Stegostoma tigrinum: one gene and its partner. The protein of the gene in region 1 binds, or shares a complex with, the protein of each later gene. Links are inferred from orthologs where the notes say so. Each region holds a gene or a part of one and is shown in the gene's direction. Other genes may lie near its edges.

What was found. Proteins that work in one complex are often made in the same cells at the same time.
Region 2: the proteins of zdhhc9 (region 1) and golga7 are in contact, whole or in part, in a cryo-EM structure (PDB 8HF3), measured with the Homo sapiens proteins. The link is inferred for Stegostoma tigrinum from reciprocal best matches to the Homo sapiens genes ZDHHC9 and GOLGA7. Residues at the interface, in NP_001008223.1 of Homo sapiens: Phe78, Ala81, Arg85, Ile94, Pro95, Leu98, Asp100, Glu101, Phe104, Ile105, Phe129, Gln130, Ile131, Asn132, Ile146, Pro149, Pro150, Arg182, Tyr183, Leu186, Tyr274, Lys281, Cys284, Glu285, Leu287, Cys288, Gly289, Pro290, Leu291, Pro292; in NP_001002296.1 of Homo sapiens: Lys11, Phe13, Gln15, Tyr18, Ser19, Ser20, Gly21, Thr22, Ala57, Glu58, Leu60, Ser64, Tyr65, Gly68, Cys72, Ala75, Tyr76, Thr77, Phe79, Leu80, Tyr86, Glu87, Leu90, Ile116, Arg118, Gly119, Arg121, Val122.

The regions. Positions count from the first base shown.
Region 1 is NC_081368.1:45,030,520-45,037,226, reverse strand, and holds the start of zdhhc9 (palmitoyltransferase ZDHHC9), read left to right. Parts: upstream 1-2,544; 5' UTR 2,545-2,841; coding exon 2,842-2,999; intron 3,000-6,707. UniProt on the Homo sapiens protein: Palmitoyltransferase that catalyzes the addition of palmitate onto various protein substrates, such as ADRB2, GSDMD, HRAS, NRAS and CGAS. The ZDHHC9-GOLGA7 complex is a palmitoyltransferase specific for HRAS and NRAS.
Region 2 is NC_081393.1:13,285,205-13,291,911, forward strand, and holds the start of golga7 (golgin subfamily A member 7), read left to right. Parts: upstream 1-2,163; 5' UTR 2,164-2,251; coding exon 2,252-2,260; intron 2,261-6,707. UniProt on the Homo sapiens protein: May be involved in protein transport from Golgi to cell surface. The ZDHHC9-GOLGA7 complex is a palmitoyltransferase specific for HRAS and NRAS.

The DNA.
Region 1 (6,707 bases):
AGCCATTCACTAGCTCATTTCTCATGGCAATTCCATGTCCAATCAGAATCAGCCTGTCTGATTTGAAATTTAATCAGAGCCATGCTATTAACTATTAGTAGTGTTAATGGGTTTGTTGTCCACAGTAAGGGCTCTAACATCAGAGTCAACTTATCAACAGTTGGTCCTCTCCTATTAATGCTTGTTCTCCAATTGAATATCAATTTTTGCAAAATATCCTGAAAAGTATCAAGATGAAAAGCCTTAACAAAATGTGTCATTTTTCAGCACTACTCAAGTTTGTCTTATAGTTTAATTACGCTACAATGTGAGCACAGGTCCACTTTTTTGGTATATATACCTTGTATAAATGGGAATTGGAGAGAATTTTCTTATAGACTAAAACACATTGATTTATTTTCCTTTCTTCATCTATATTTAGATTTTTCAAAGTGTCTCTGAATAGAAAGAAAACGGCTGCAACTACTCACAATCTTCTGTTTGTCTTTTTGGAAGTTGCTCTAACAGTATTTTGTTCTCTTGCAAGTGTTAAGAACACTGTAACTACTGCATGGAATCTTTGCTCAGAATTTGTGTTAACTACTAATAACTTGCATATGACTCTAGACAATATCATGATCTTATATTTTTGAAATTGAAAGGACATATCATCCTGTTCTTTTAAAATGCTATGAAAAATGGTTAACTTACATGTATGCAAATTATTTAAATCAGACACAGTGTGCAGCTAGAGGATATGTTGAAAATCAATTAAGCTAAACCCAACATTCAGATTAGAGTACTTTTTCTCCAGAGGTGCTATATTAACTGACATTGTGGGGTAAAAGTCCAAGATGATCAAATACTGCTTGAGTTGATGATTCATGACTATTGTGACTATAAAAATGTTGTTCCAAAGAAAGCAACTAGTCTAAGAAACCATATGAATACTCAAATAATTTGATCGCTGGCATTTACTGCATAGCATGGTAGAGATTAGGATCTTTGTTTGTGGAAAATTGTAGGATGAAGTTCAAATCCCACTGAGTCTGCAATTAACAAATCTCAATCACCAAAGTGTTTCCCCATGGTTTCAAGAAAACTGCAACTTTATTAGTTTTGGAAAGTGTGGTAATCCTGGCATTGAAAATTACATAGCAAGCTGGGTCAATGTTCTGGCCACAGCAATGGTAAGGGTCGAAAAAATAATCTTAATTCATTGGCCTTATTTAAATCATGATAATGAACTGTAGGTTTTTAACGGAGTGAGCTTGATCCCCCCAGTTGGATTAAGCGTGGCTAACATTGGCTGATCCAGTTGATAACCAGGTTAACGATAGTTCCTGCATATGAAGAACTTCTCCTCGTACAAAAATAATTCTAAACTTAACCTGTCTTGCCATCTTTGGTTCCATGATTGAAGCTGAAACTGGCTGTTTATATTGTACAGACATCGTTTATTTTCAACGTAAAATGTCAATCAGATTCTTAGTTTAACAAATGAACAATTCAGTTTCACACTAGATTCACTTTAATATTTTTACAGTAACAGGAAAACTAGCGTAGCTAATCACCAAATGCCACAAGCAATATATATCTAATGCGGAAACTGAAATCTATAAGTCGAAACCAGGGAAATGCTCTTTAGTTAACAAGTAGTTATTACAAGGCCATGACTACTAAGAAATATGTTCTGTTGTCTTTTCATGATCTCTTTAAACAAAATCCAGATATCCTTCAAATTCAAGTCCACAAAACATATTTAGTATGAAACCATAAGAATGGAGAAAAATAAAGATTGGATTGTGAGAAAAAAAGATTAAAACTTTAAAAAGACGTTTATATTTGACATTTAAAATATTCAACAATTAAAATCCCAAGAAATGAAGCTCTACAATGCCAAAGTAGTTAATTGACTGTCGTCAACAAGCGTATTGTTAAAAAAAATTCTGATGGCTGTTCCAGCCTTAATTAGATATGCAACCCTGAAATAGCATCACAAAAAAGCAGGCTCCTTACATCACTGGAGAGCAGCTTTAACTTTCTGTGGCGAGTGTCTACTGCGCAAATACCATTCAATGTAGCTCAACGTAGCTCGATGTTTATCTAGACAGAGAGATACTGTTTTCACAAGGATAAGAACAGCCTATTTGACAGATTTCCATGTTGAATCAAAGATCTGTCATTGCCACTAACAGCTGGAGTATTTAAGCATCATTAGGTTTTTTGGGGGATAGGAAATTACTTGGTGCAATTTTTGTGATCTCGAATTCAGACACTGATTTTAAGAGATTTAACACTTCCACTGAACCTATGTAAAAAAATTTCAATCCCAAAAATGGCCTCGATCATCGACTAGTAATTTTTGCAAATATAAATCTCTGTTCTGGTCCCATCCACTGTCGACCTGGTTAAACACGGTGTGGCAGTGACTCACAACAGCCTGTCTGTCTGTCGGCTAAGAATGGTGCGAATGAATGGGTCGCTTCAAGCTGGAGGCGCGCGCACGCCCACGGGAACCAGCAGGTGAGCGGGGGCGCGCACAAGCAGTCTTACAAAGTGGAGCTGGGGAAGGGCGTGGCTGACGGAGCTCTGGCTGAGTCTCTGAGATGGAGCAGCGAATAGAGAGGTAGTGCTGAATTTGCTTGAATATAGGAGCTGGTAGAGGCAGGAAAGGAAGGAACAGGAGGGGAACTGAGGACCGCATACCCGGGGAACAAAGGGAAAGAGCGGTCTGCTGTATTATATACTGACATCGATCTGAAACTTTTTTTAATAAAAAGAAGGCATTATTATATTTGATTGAGTTTTTTTAAAAGAGATTTTTCATTGTAAAGAGTTATCGAAAGGAATTACAAAGCCATGAAGAGCGAGAAAAAGCCAACGCGGAAATGGCAGAAGCTGCCAGGGAGAAACACGTTCTGTTGCGATGGTAGGATCATGATGGCTCGACAGAAAGGAGTTTTTTACCTTACCGTCTTCCTCATCGTAGGAACCAGCGCGTTGTTTTTCGGATTTGAGTGAGTAACAATGACAAGAATGCAGAATTGTTGTGTTTTGAGAGAGGTGTAAGGACCTGGGCTTCTAAAAGTGGCGAAAATCATACCTTAGCAGAGAACCCTTGTGTTTGAGGAGCCGTAAAGCTTTCGCGGTGCAGCTTAGATTTCTATTTAAAACCATTTTTCTGGCGTAGAGCTCGCAACTGATTTACGTGAATTTTAAATCGTGCTGTGATGGATTTAAACATCCTGTGTCCACTACTTCTGTTAGCTACCTGTCAATCTTAGCTGTTTGAATGCGAGTCGCTCTGTGTTGTAGAGAGGAAAATAAAACGAAATCTTGCTGTTAATTGTTTCAAGTTTGAGCTAATTATTCTCTGTAAAATTTCACTTGAGAGCAATGACCTTGACAACTATGGTGTGGTGGGGTTCCTTTTTAAAACGTTTGGATTTGTTTTAGATTCTAAAGTAGTAGTAATTTCGCAAATCATTATTTTGGTCAACGAGAGGCAAGCCTTCAAAAATGACAGTTCTTGTGAATCGGGAATGGAGTCCACCAGGACAGCTCGAGTAATTCTCGTCGTGGTGACGTTCGCGGTGAAATGATGCGTATTAATTTGATTTCCTTCATGCTGTTATATTTGGCTAATGTGAACAAAATAGCCTGCCAAATAATTGCTTTTGCAGCGTTCAATTAATGGTTGGCATACTTTGCTTTTATTTTAAAAAAAAAGTTCCGTCTTTGGATTTTAAAAGTTTCAGAACTACTACGTGGTTAAATACACGGTGGTGCTCTGAAAAGTCCTCGATTTATTTTCCGTTTTTATCTAAGCTAATCTGAAGGTACAAGTGGCTACCTCAGTATTCCTAGCTGTAGAAAAAGGAACATCAGTCAGGTCTTCCTTCCTTTGGCTGCGGCGCAGCCTCTGGGGCGCTGTGCCGAGCTCCCCTTGTCCTCCACAGGCAGAGCAAGTATGTTGGTGTCTCCTTAAGGACCAGAAGGACTTGCCTTTTCATGCGTTAGACACTGGTTTGTTATGCTGGAGGATTGTCTGGTTTTTGCAATTCTACATATCTTGTTCAGGAATTGGAAAAAGGAATAGACTTTTCTCTTAAAATAAACCCCTGTGAATTCAGGCAATAGGGCCCTAAGTTAGACCATTCCCACCCCCAACCCCCATTTTACAATAATCCGATCCTGCTGTATACAAATGCAAGTTGTAAATTTCTTGTTTTAGGTGTTGTTTAAATTTGCAGCATGGGATTATTTTCTAAACAAAAGTCAGTGTATTGTAGAACACTAAAATTGCTTGTCATTAGAAGTGTAAGATAATAGTGTGAAGCTGGATGAACACAGCAGGCCAAGCAGCATCTCAGGAGCACAAAAGCTGACGTTTTGGGCCTAGACCCTTATTCAGAGCTTTATCTCTGTCATTATACGTGTTTCCTGTTTTCAAAAAAAAAAATTTGTGCAGTGCCTTACAAAACATTTTGACTTAAATTGTAGTAAAGTTCAACTGGTCTCCAAACAGTGTTCCATTTGTGTGTACCAATACAATGGTACCAATCTTAATATTGACAACAGGCAACCGTTGTCAGGTATGTGACCTGAGAGCAAAATACTTATTATTGAAAATGACAGCCCAATAGACACAAACTCTTAATGTGTTATACTTCACTTTTTGAGGTACATCAGAACAGTTTCAATACATGGAACAGACATTGTGATTAGAAATGCTTTGCCCTTACATAGTATATTAAGTCTTTCAACCCTGATCTGCTACTATGATTATACCTCATCTATTTGTTTTTACTGCTCATTCCCCTCCCTGATAACCTTTTTAGTCCCTTGCTTGACAAGAATCTATCTTCTGCCTTATAAAACTAATAAATAACCCTATCTATGCTATATTCAGAAGTAGAGTTCCCAAGTTGCATGATGCTCAATTTCTCCTCATCTGACCTGAAAGGACAAATAATTCTTTACTGCGAAATGGACTCACCCAGAAATATGGCTTGAGGTTTGCAGTGACAGAATTAGGGGTGGTGTTCGTTCTTCTTTCTGTAGTTTCCATAGCTTTGGTACTGTGATTTTAGGTTAATATTGATTAAACTAACTTGCATTTGTATGTTTCCTTAAATTCACTTGTCGGCATCCATACACAATATTGTTTAACATTTTTGAATTAAATCCAATGCAAACAAATCCTTGTGAAGCAACACTGCAGTTGTTGATTTCTGCTTTTATCCTTGTTAATCTCAAGGTAAAAGTGGCTACCTTAGTATTCCTGGCTGGAGAAAATGGAACATCAGTCAGGTTTCTCTTTGGCTGCAGTGCAGCCCCTGGGAATTGTGCCGAGCTCCTCTTGTCCTCCACAGGCAGAGCAAGTATCTTGGTGTTCTATGTTCTATGTTTGAATATAGAACATAGGACAGTACAGGCCCTTTGGCCCATGATGTTGTGCTGACCTATTATCCTACTGAAATCAAACTAACCTTCATTTTACTATTATCCATGTGCCTATCCAAGTAAAGCTGCAAAGAATTGAGGCTGTATGTACAGGTAAAATAAACAATAGTAGTATTTGATCTTCCACCTCCTTTTAAGTTATTTTAGAATATTAATAGGACAGTTTATGATCTAAATGGTGTTTTCTTTGGTTCTCAAGATTGACCTTGAATTCAATGTTAACATTATTCTTTACAATAATATTAGCTAGACCCTACCATCAAAACTGTTTTTGCTGTGCTAGAGTCTACTTTCTTATGGCCCTGTTGTACTGAGCTCTATTAGCATCCTGACCTCAATCTGGCCATATCCTCACCCTCCTCTTTGATTCACCACAGCTTGTGGTTGAAATCATGAATATGTCCTCGATAGTTCTGTTTTAATATGTAGCTTCCCTTTTCCACACTCTCTACCTCTAGCTTTTGAATTGGAATTAATCTTTCATGTACTTCTTGAATTTTTAAGTTCCCTCAGTTTTACTGCCTCGTACCAAAAGCCTTATTAAAACCATGAAGTTTGACCATAATTCCTCCTCTGCTTTCATGTGTCATCTGATTTTTCTGTGAAATGTTTTGTTTTACCCCCTGTTTGGAAGTTGCTTTGCAAGTGTAAGTTGTCATTGTTTTGTCCTACTTCTTCTCTTTGCCCTGTTTCCGGGTACCTTGAACCAACACATAGTATAAGCCCTCTGCATTTGTTGTGATGTCTCACATTCAAGGCAGTAGGTGAACTGAGAAAATGTAACTGCTCTTAAGTGTCTTTGTGTGTTGAAAAGTTTTTAAAGGAATCTCTTAAGAGCAGTGTGACGTATTATAAAAAGTTGTTCCTATTTATGTGCTTTATTTTATCAGATTACAAAGATGTTTTTAATTCTAATCGAAATACTTAAGTATTAAGTGCTTGAAATGTGATAATTCACAAATTGGCCTGTGCATAGAGGCTCTGAACTGTGAAACAGCACATGTTAGCAGATTAATAATCCAGTTTATTGGACCCAGGTTTGCACAGAATTTGTTGTTAGTGAGGGGGATGTTTGCACTGCACAGAGTTAAATCTGGAGAATATAAATGAGACTAAATGGGAAGCGATGAGTTATGTGAGAGATCTTGTGCTTCGTTAGGAGTATTTGTCCTATGATTTCTAAATTAATCACTTTTTTTTTTCCTTGTATCCAAGCACTTTTGTGTGAATATCTCCTTTGTGCCCAGAGTTATTGCAAT
Region 2 (6,707 bases), on another chromosome or scaffold:
AACCTTCACTGTTCAGTGCAGACCATTGTTACACTTACATGGCATATGATGAAGCAATATTTTGTGTATTATGCAGAGCCCTTGGAATTTGCACAGTTTCCCTTCAAGCAGCGTTAGCATTTTGTGATGCCATTATTGCTATCTTCCCTTGCCATGTCTTACTGTTCCCAGCTCCCCTACGATTCATCTCATGTTTCTTCCCATCACAACCTCATCCACACCACTGTAAGTGCCTCTGCTTTCCCAAACTAGCCTTGATTCCTCCACTCCTGTTGGCAGTGATTCCTTCCCTTCCAGAACAGGGCCCCCTTGGATTTCCCAAATGGTGAATGAATGAACTCCGTGGGCTTCATTTGCTTCAGGCCTCTGACCAACTTTAACTAACAGTCCCTGGTCTTTGACTGACCAGGCTCTTGAGTGCAGTCCTTGCAGCTCCCTGACTAACAGTCTGCAATTAATGCTGACAGCTTGTGTTGGCACTGCAGGACTGACCGCTACCCACTCCCTAACTACACTGGGGCAGATTCCCTGACTGCGAGTGTCCCAAGCAGCTGACTGACCATGGCCAAGCCCCTTGAGTGTGTGCAGACTGTATCCCTAAAGTAACTGACTGACCGACAGTGACCCCCCCCCCTTTGACTGAACTGAGGATCATATGGTCAAATAAATGTGTCATATGAATGCTATGCTTGCAGCTGGTGAAAGCTGTAGTTTTCTTGGTTTACCATTCACTAAGATCCCCCACTCCCTGGCTCACTGGACAGTTTCTGACTGCTAAATGTGACAAACTGTGTGTGTGTGTGTGTGTGTGTGTGTGTGTGTGTGTGTGTGTGTGTGTGTGTGTGTGTAGGCACGCGTGTGTGCATGTCTGTGCTCAAGAATACCTCAGTATGGCTGTCCTGACAGCCTTTGGCTCTGGCTGACCACCCAGCAGTCTAATAAGCGTGGCATGACGAGGTAATGAAAGGGATAGTGGTGCAAGCGTGCAGGTAGACGCTAAGTAAGGGAACACTTTCAGAGCAAGCAAGCAGTCCTGAGATGCAGCCTGGTCCAACTGTTGAGCTGTGTGCCTGTCTGTGCGCAAAAATTTCCTGTTGCAGATTTGCAAGGCTAGTTTTCAGTGCTCCCTGCAATGGAAGTGTGTGGCCTGCCAGTGTCTCAGAGAGTGAGATGCCAATATGGTTGTGGGTAAGGTTTGGGTGTGGATGGTGCCCGTGGATCATGCCCTGAGATACAGATTGGCTGTAGCATTGGACAAGACGGGTTAGATGAAGGAGGGATGTACCCCAATTTGGGGAATGTCCAGAACCAGGGTTGATAGTTACAGGATAGGGAATAAACCTTTTAGGATTGAGATGAGGAGAAATTTCTTCACTATGAGCGTGTTAAGCCTGTGGAAGTTACGACTACAGAAAGTGGTTTATGTCAAAACACTATATGTTTGCAAGAAGGAGGTAGCTATAACTGTTGTGGCAAAAAGAATATGGTAGCGGCAAGCATGGGATTAGGGTGTTGGCCTGAATAATCAGCAATGATCATATTAAATGTCGGAGCAAGGCTCCAGGGTCAAATGGGCTACTTTTTTTTAATACTCCAATGTAAACAACCCGGAGCCTCTTCGGAGCAAGCAGAGGGAAAAATCTACCAGGTACCCATACTGATTTTCATGTCAGATTTTCTCAATCTCTTGCTTATATAGTGTATTTGAGAAGATAGAAAATTGAATATTGATGAGACATCAACAAGCAGTTTCACAAATAAGCGTTTCCCCTCAATGTGCAACTTTTTTTCATGAGTGGTTCCCTCTGGGTAGTCGGGGTTAATGGTCTGTTTCAGGGCTGCTGAGAAAAATTCAAATGTATGCCTCCACTCGTGTAGGAAAGCGTGTGAATGTGAACGTGTTTGAACAATTTGTACCAATCTGAAGGAAAAAGTGAGAACAATGTCAATGGTATAATCTGCAAGAAGATGGGGTTTATGATTTTCTAAATGGGCTGCACAGGTTTTTTAGGGTTTTGTTATAACCATCTTCCAGACTATTTTGCCGACTTATGCAAAATGTAAAATAAAATAAACTGACACTACGAGGATGACCAGCTCATTGAAGAGGTTTATGATATGAAGGATCAAACAATGCAGAAGAAACATGTGTAGTACTAGGCTGTAAGCTCTGAGAGGGGGGGGAACCTTTTGTTCCAGGCGGAACTCGGATCGTGGGAGCCAGTAACCCGGAAGCAGGCGGCGGCTCAAGATGGCGGAGGTAGGAGGAGGTGGTTCGGTGGAAAGGTTTCTCGGATTCTGTGGGCGGGTGGTTTGAGAGCTGGGGGCTGGTGAAAGTGGCTCTCGCCGAACCCGAGAAGGGGTTCTTTGGGGGATGGGCGGTGGCCGCGAATTTTGTGTCTGCTCGGAGGCTGGCGACTCCTCTGGTGCCTCCCGGAAACCGGTCCGCCTCTACTCTCCCAGCCCCAGCACCCTTCAGGAAGCGCTTTGTTTATTTGTGTCTCATCTGTCTGTCGTGGAAGTAACAGTTTACTTGATTCACCGATTTATTCCAAGGGGTTTTGGGAAAGGGTGTGGTGGAGGGTCGGGGAGGGGAATGTTTGAGCGAAGTGGGTTTCTGGGGTTGGGATGACGAAGGGGAAGAGGGTATGGTTTAAGAGAAAGGACCAGATTGGATGTGGAAGAAGGGGGAATGGTTGGTGGGGTGAAGGGAAAATTTGATATAGGGTTGGGGTTCCTGAGGGGAAGATGTTGTGGAAAGGGCCGTGCGTTTCCAATCGAATCAGTCATCACAATTTGAGCATTCAACCCCGACGTACGGCAGAGGTCTGCCCCTTTCCAGTGAATATACAGACTCCTTGGTCTCATTTTTGTTCAAGAAGCAGAGAGTGCTGTCCCCAGAAAGCTAGCCAATATTTGTTTCTCAGACAGTATTCCTTGAAAGTAAACAAGCTGTTTGTTATCCTATGGCTGACCTTGGAAGCCTGCTGTGTGTAAATTGGCTGGCCTTATTTCATGGCAATAACTTCACTTCGAAAGCCCTTCATCGGCTGTGGAGTTGCATGAATGAAGCTCAAGTCTTCTTCTTTTTGTGTTTCTTCGTGGTGAGCATTTGTTGTTGGCCCCTAATTGTTCTTGAACTGAGTGGCTTGCTGGGCCATTCAGAAAGCAGCTCAGAAACAACAACATTGCTGTGGGATAGCAAAGTGTGAAGCTGGATGAACATAGCAGGCCAAGCGGCATCTCAGGAGCACTGTGCTCCTGAGATGCTGCTTGGCCTGCTGTGTTCATCCAGCTTCACACTTTGTTATCTTGGATTCTTCAGTATCTGCAGTTCCCATTATCTCTGATCACAACATTGCTGTGGGTATGGGATTATCACACCACATTTAGTGAGATTGGCAGATTAGTATGCTGAGTGACATTTGTGAATGGGGTGGGTTTCAATGATACTTGATGTTTGATTTGTCATCAATCCTCAGCCTAGTTTTCAACACTAGATCTTTTTATTTTGTTTTTAAAATTGAAGGCAAATTCCTCCATTTGTCATGGTGATATTTGAAACTCCGTCTCTAGAGTTTTCACCTGGAGCCTGCATCCCTCATCTAGTGACTTTCTGACAGCCTCTTTCATTCTCTCCCTTCTCCCCCCCCCGCCCCCCCCATTTGTAACATCCTTGTTTTGTATGTATTTATCAGGATGTCGCTGAATGAGTGTCATATCACAAGAATTTACTTTTTAAAAATAGGAGCACCTAAAGGAAAAGTAGATGATGTTTTCCACATATTAATCAGATTTGAGGTTACACTTCATTTAGCAGTCAATGGCCACAGTGGATTCCAGATGCTGATAGTTAATTCAGAGCATTTTATTTAGGGAAAGAAAACTTGTTTGCTTTACAGAGGTAACAGTGTGGAGCTCAATGAACACAGCAGGCCAAGCAGCATCTTAGGAGCACACAAGCTGACGTTTCGGGCCTAGACCCTTAATCAGAAAAGGGGGATGGGGAGAGGGTTCTGAAATCAATAGGGAGAGATGGGGAGGTGGATCGAAGATGGACAGAGTAGAAGATGGGTGGGGAGGAGACAGACAAGTTAAAGGGGCAGGGGTGGAGCCTGTAGAGGTGAGTGCAGGTAGGGAGGGGATAGGTCATTCCGGGGAGGATGGACAAGTCAAGGGGGCGAGATGAGGTTAGTAGATAAGAAATGGAGGTGCAACTTGAGGTGGGATGAGGGGATAGGTGAGAGGAAGAACGGGTTAGGGAGGCAGGGACGTGCTGGGCTGGTTTTGGGATGCACTGGCAGGAGGGGAGATTTTGAAGCTAGTGAAAACCACTCTCTCCGTGACTCCCTTGTCCGCTTCACACTCCCCTCCAACCCCACCACACCTGGCACTTTCTCCTGCAACCACAGGAAGTGCTACACTTGCCCCCACTCCTCCTCCCTCACCCCCATCCTAGGCCCCAAGAAGACTTTCCACATCAAGCAGATGTTCACCTGCACAGCTGCCAATGTGGTATACTGCATCCGCTGTACCCATTGTGGCTACCTCTACATCGGGGAAACCATGCGGAGGCTTGGGGATTGCTTTGCAGAACACCTACACTCAGTTTGCAATAAACAACTGCAGCTCCCACTTGTGAACCATTTCAACTCTCCCTCCTATTCCTTAGATGACATGCCCATCCTGGGACTCTTGCAGTGCCACAATGATGCCACCCGAAGGTTGCAGGAACAGCAACTCCTGTTCCGCTTGGGAACCCTGCAGCCCAGTGGTACCAATGTGAATTTCACTAGCTTCAAAATCTCCCCTTCCCCCACTGCATCCCAAAACCAGCCCTGCTCGTCCCTGCCCCCCCCCAACCTGTTCTTTCTCCCACCTATCCCCACCTCCCACTTGAAGCTGCACCTCCATCCCTACCTCCTAACCTCATCCTGACCCCTTGACTAGTCCGTCCTCCCGGGATTGACCTATCCCCTCCCACACCTATACTCAACTCTACAGGCTCCATCTCCCCCCCCCACTTTAACTTGTCTGTCTTGTCTCCACCTATCTTCTCTATCCATCTTTGATCTGCCTCCCCCTCTCCCTATTTATTTCAGAACACTCTCCCCATCCTCCTTTTCTGATGAAGGATCTAGGCCTGAAACATCAGCTTGTGTGCTCCTAAGATGCTGCTTGGCCTGCTGTGTTCATCCACCTCCACGCTTTGTTATCTCGGATTCTCCAGCATCTGCAGTTCCCATTATCTCTGTCAACGCTTTTTTTTTTGCTGATTCACTGCTGCAACCTTTTACTGAAAATGTGGCAAATGTGCAAGAATGTGGCATTTCTCTGAATTGACATGGTGCTTAAGTTTTAGTGGTAGTTCTTGTTATTTTCCCCCTGTTATATGGGTGCAAGGTGCAGATTGGAAGTTAAGTGAGGTAGAAAATAGAACAATATAGCGCACAACAGGCCCTTCGGCCCTCGATGTTGCGCCGATCTGTGAACTGATCTAAGCCCCTCCCCCTACACGATCCCATCATTATCCATATGCTTATCCAAGGACTGTTTAAATGCCCCTAATGTGGCTGAGTTAACTACTTTGGCAGGCAGAGTGTTCCACGCCCTTACCACTCTGAGTAAAGAACCTGCCTCTGACATCTGTCAAATCTATCACCCCTCAATTTGTAGCTATGCTCCCCTTGCACAAGCTGAAGTCATCATCCTTGGAAAAAAGCTCTCACTGTCCACCCTATCTAATCCTCTGATCATCTTGTATGTCTCTATTAAATCCCCTCTTAGCCTCCTTCTCTCCAATGAGAACAGACCCAAGTCTGTCAGCCTTTCTTCATAGGGCCTGTGCTCCAGACCAGGCAACATCCTGCTAAATCTCCTCTGTGCCTTCTCCAGTGCTTCCACATCCTTCCTGTAATGGGGTGACCAGAACTGCATGCAGTATTCCAAATGAGGCCGCACTAGTGTTTTGTACAGTTGCAGCATGACATCACGGTTCCGGAACTCAATCCCTCTACCAATAAAACATAACACACCGTAAGCCATCTTAACAGCGCTATCAACCTGGGTGGCAACTTTCAGGGATCTATGTACATGGACACCAAGATCTCTCTGCATATCCACACTACCAAGAATCTTTCCATTGACCCGGTATTCTGCCGCCTTCTTATTCCTCCCAAAGTGAATCACCTCACATTTATCCGTATTAAACTCCATTTGCCATCTTTCGGCCCAATTCTGCAGTTATCCAAGCCTCCCTGCAACATTCTTCCACACTGTTCACCACTCCACCGACTTTAGTGTCATCTGCAAACCTACTAACCCATCCACCTATGCCTGCGTCCAAGTCATTTATAGAAATGACAAAGAGCAATGGTGCCACAACAGATCCTTGAGGCACACCACTTGTGACCTGACTCCAGGCTGAATATTTTCCATCAACCACCACTCGTTGCCTTCTTATAGAAAGCCAGTTTCTAATCCAAACTGCTAAATCTCCCTCAATCCTGTGTCTCTATATTTTCTCCAATAGTCTACCATGTGGAACCTTATCAAAGGCTTTACTGAAGTCAAGTCTATGTACACCACGTCAACTGTCCTACCCTTATCCACATGCTTGGTCACCTTCTCAAAAAACTCAGTGAGGTTTGTGAGACACGACCTGCCCTTGATGAATCCATACTGACCATCTCCAATCAAATTGTTGC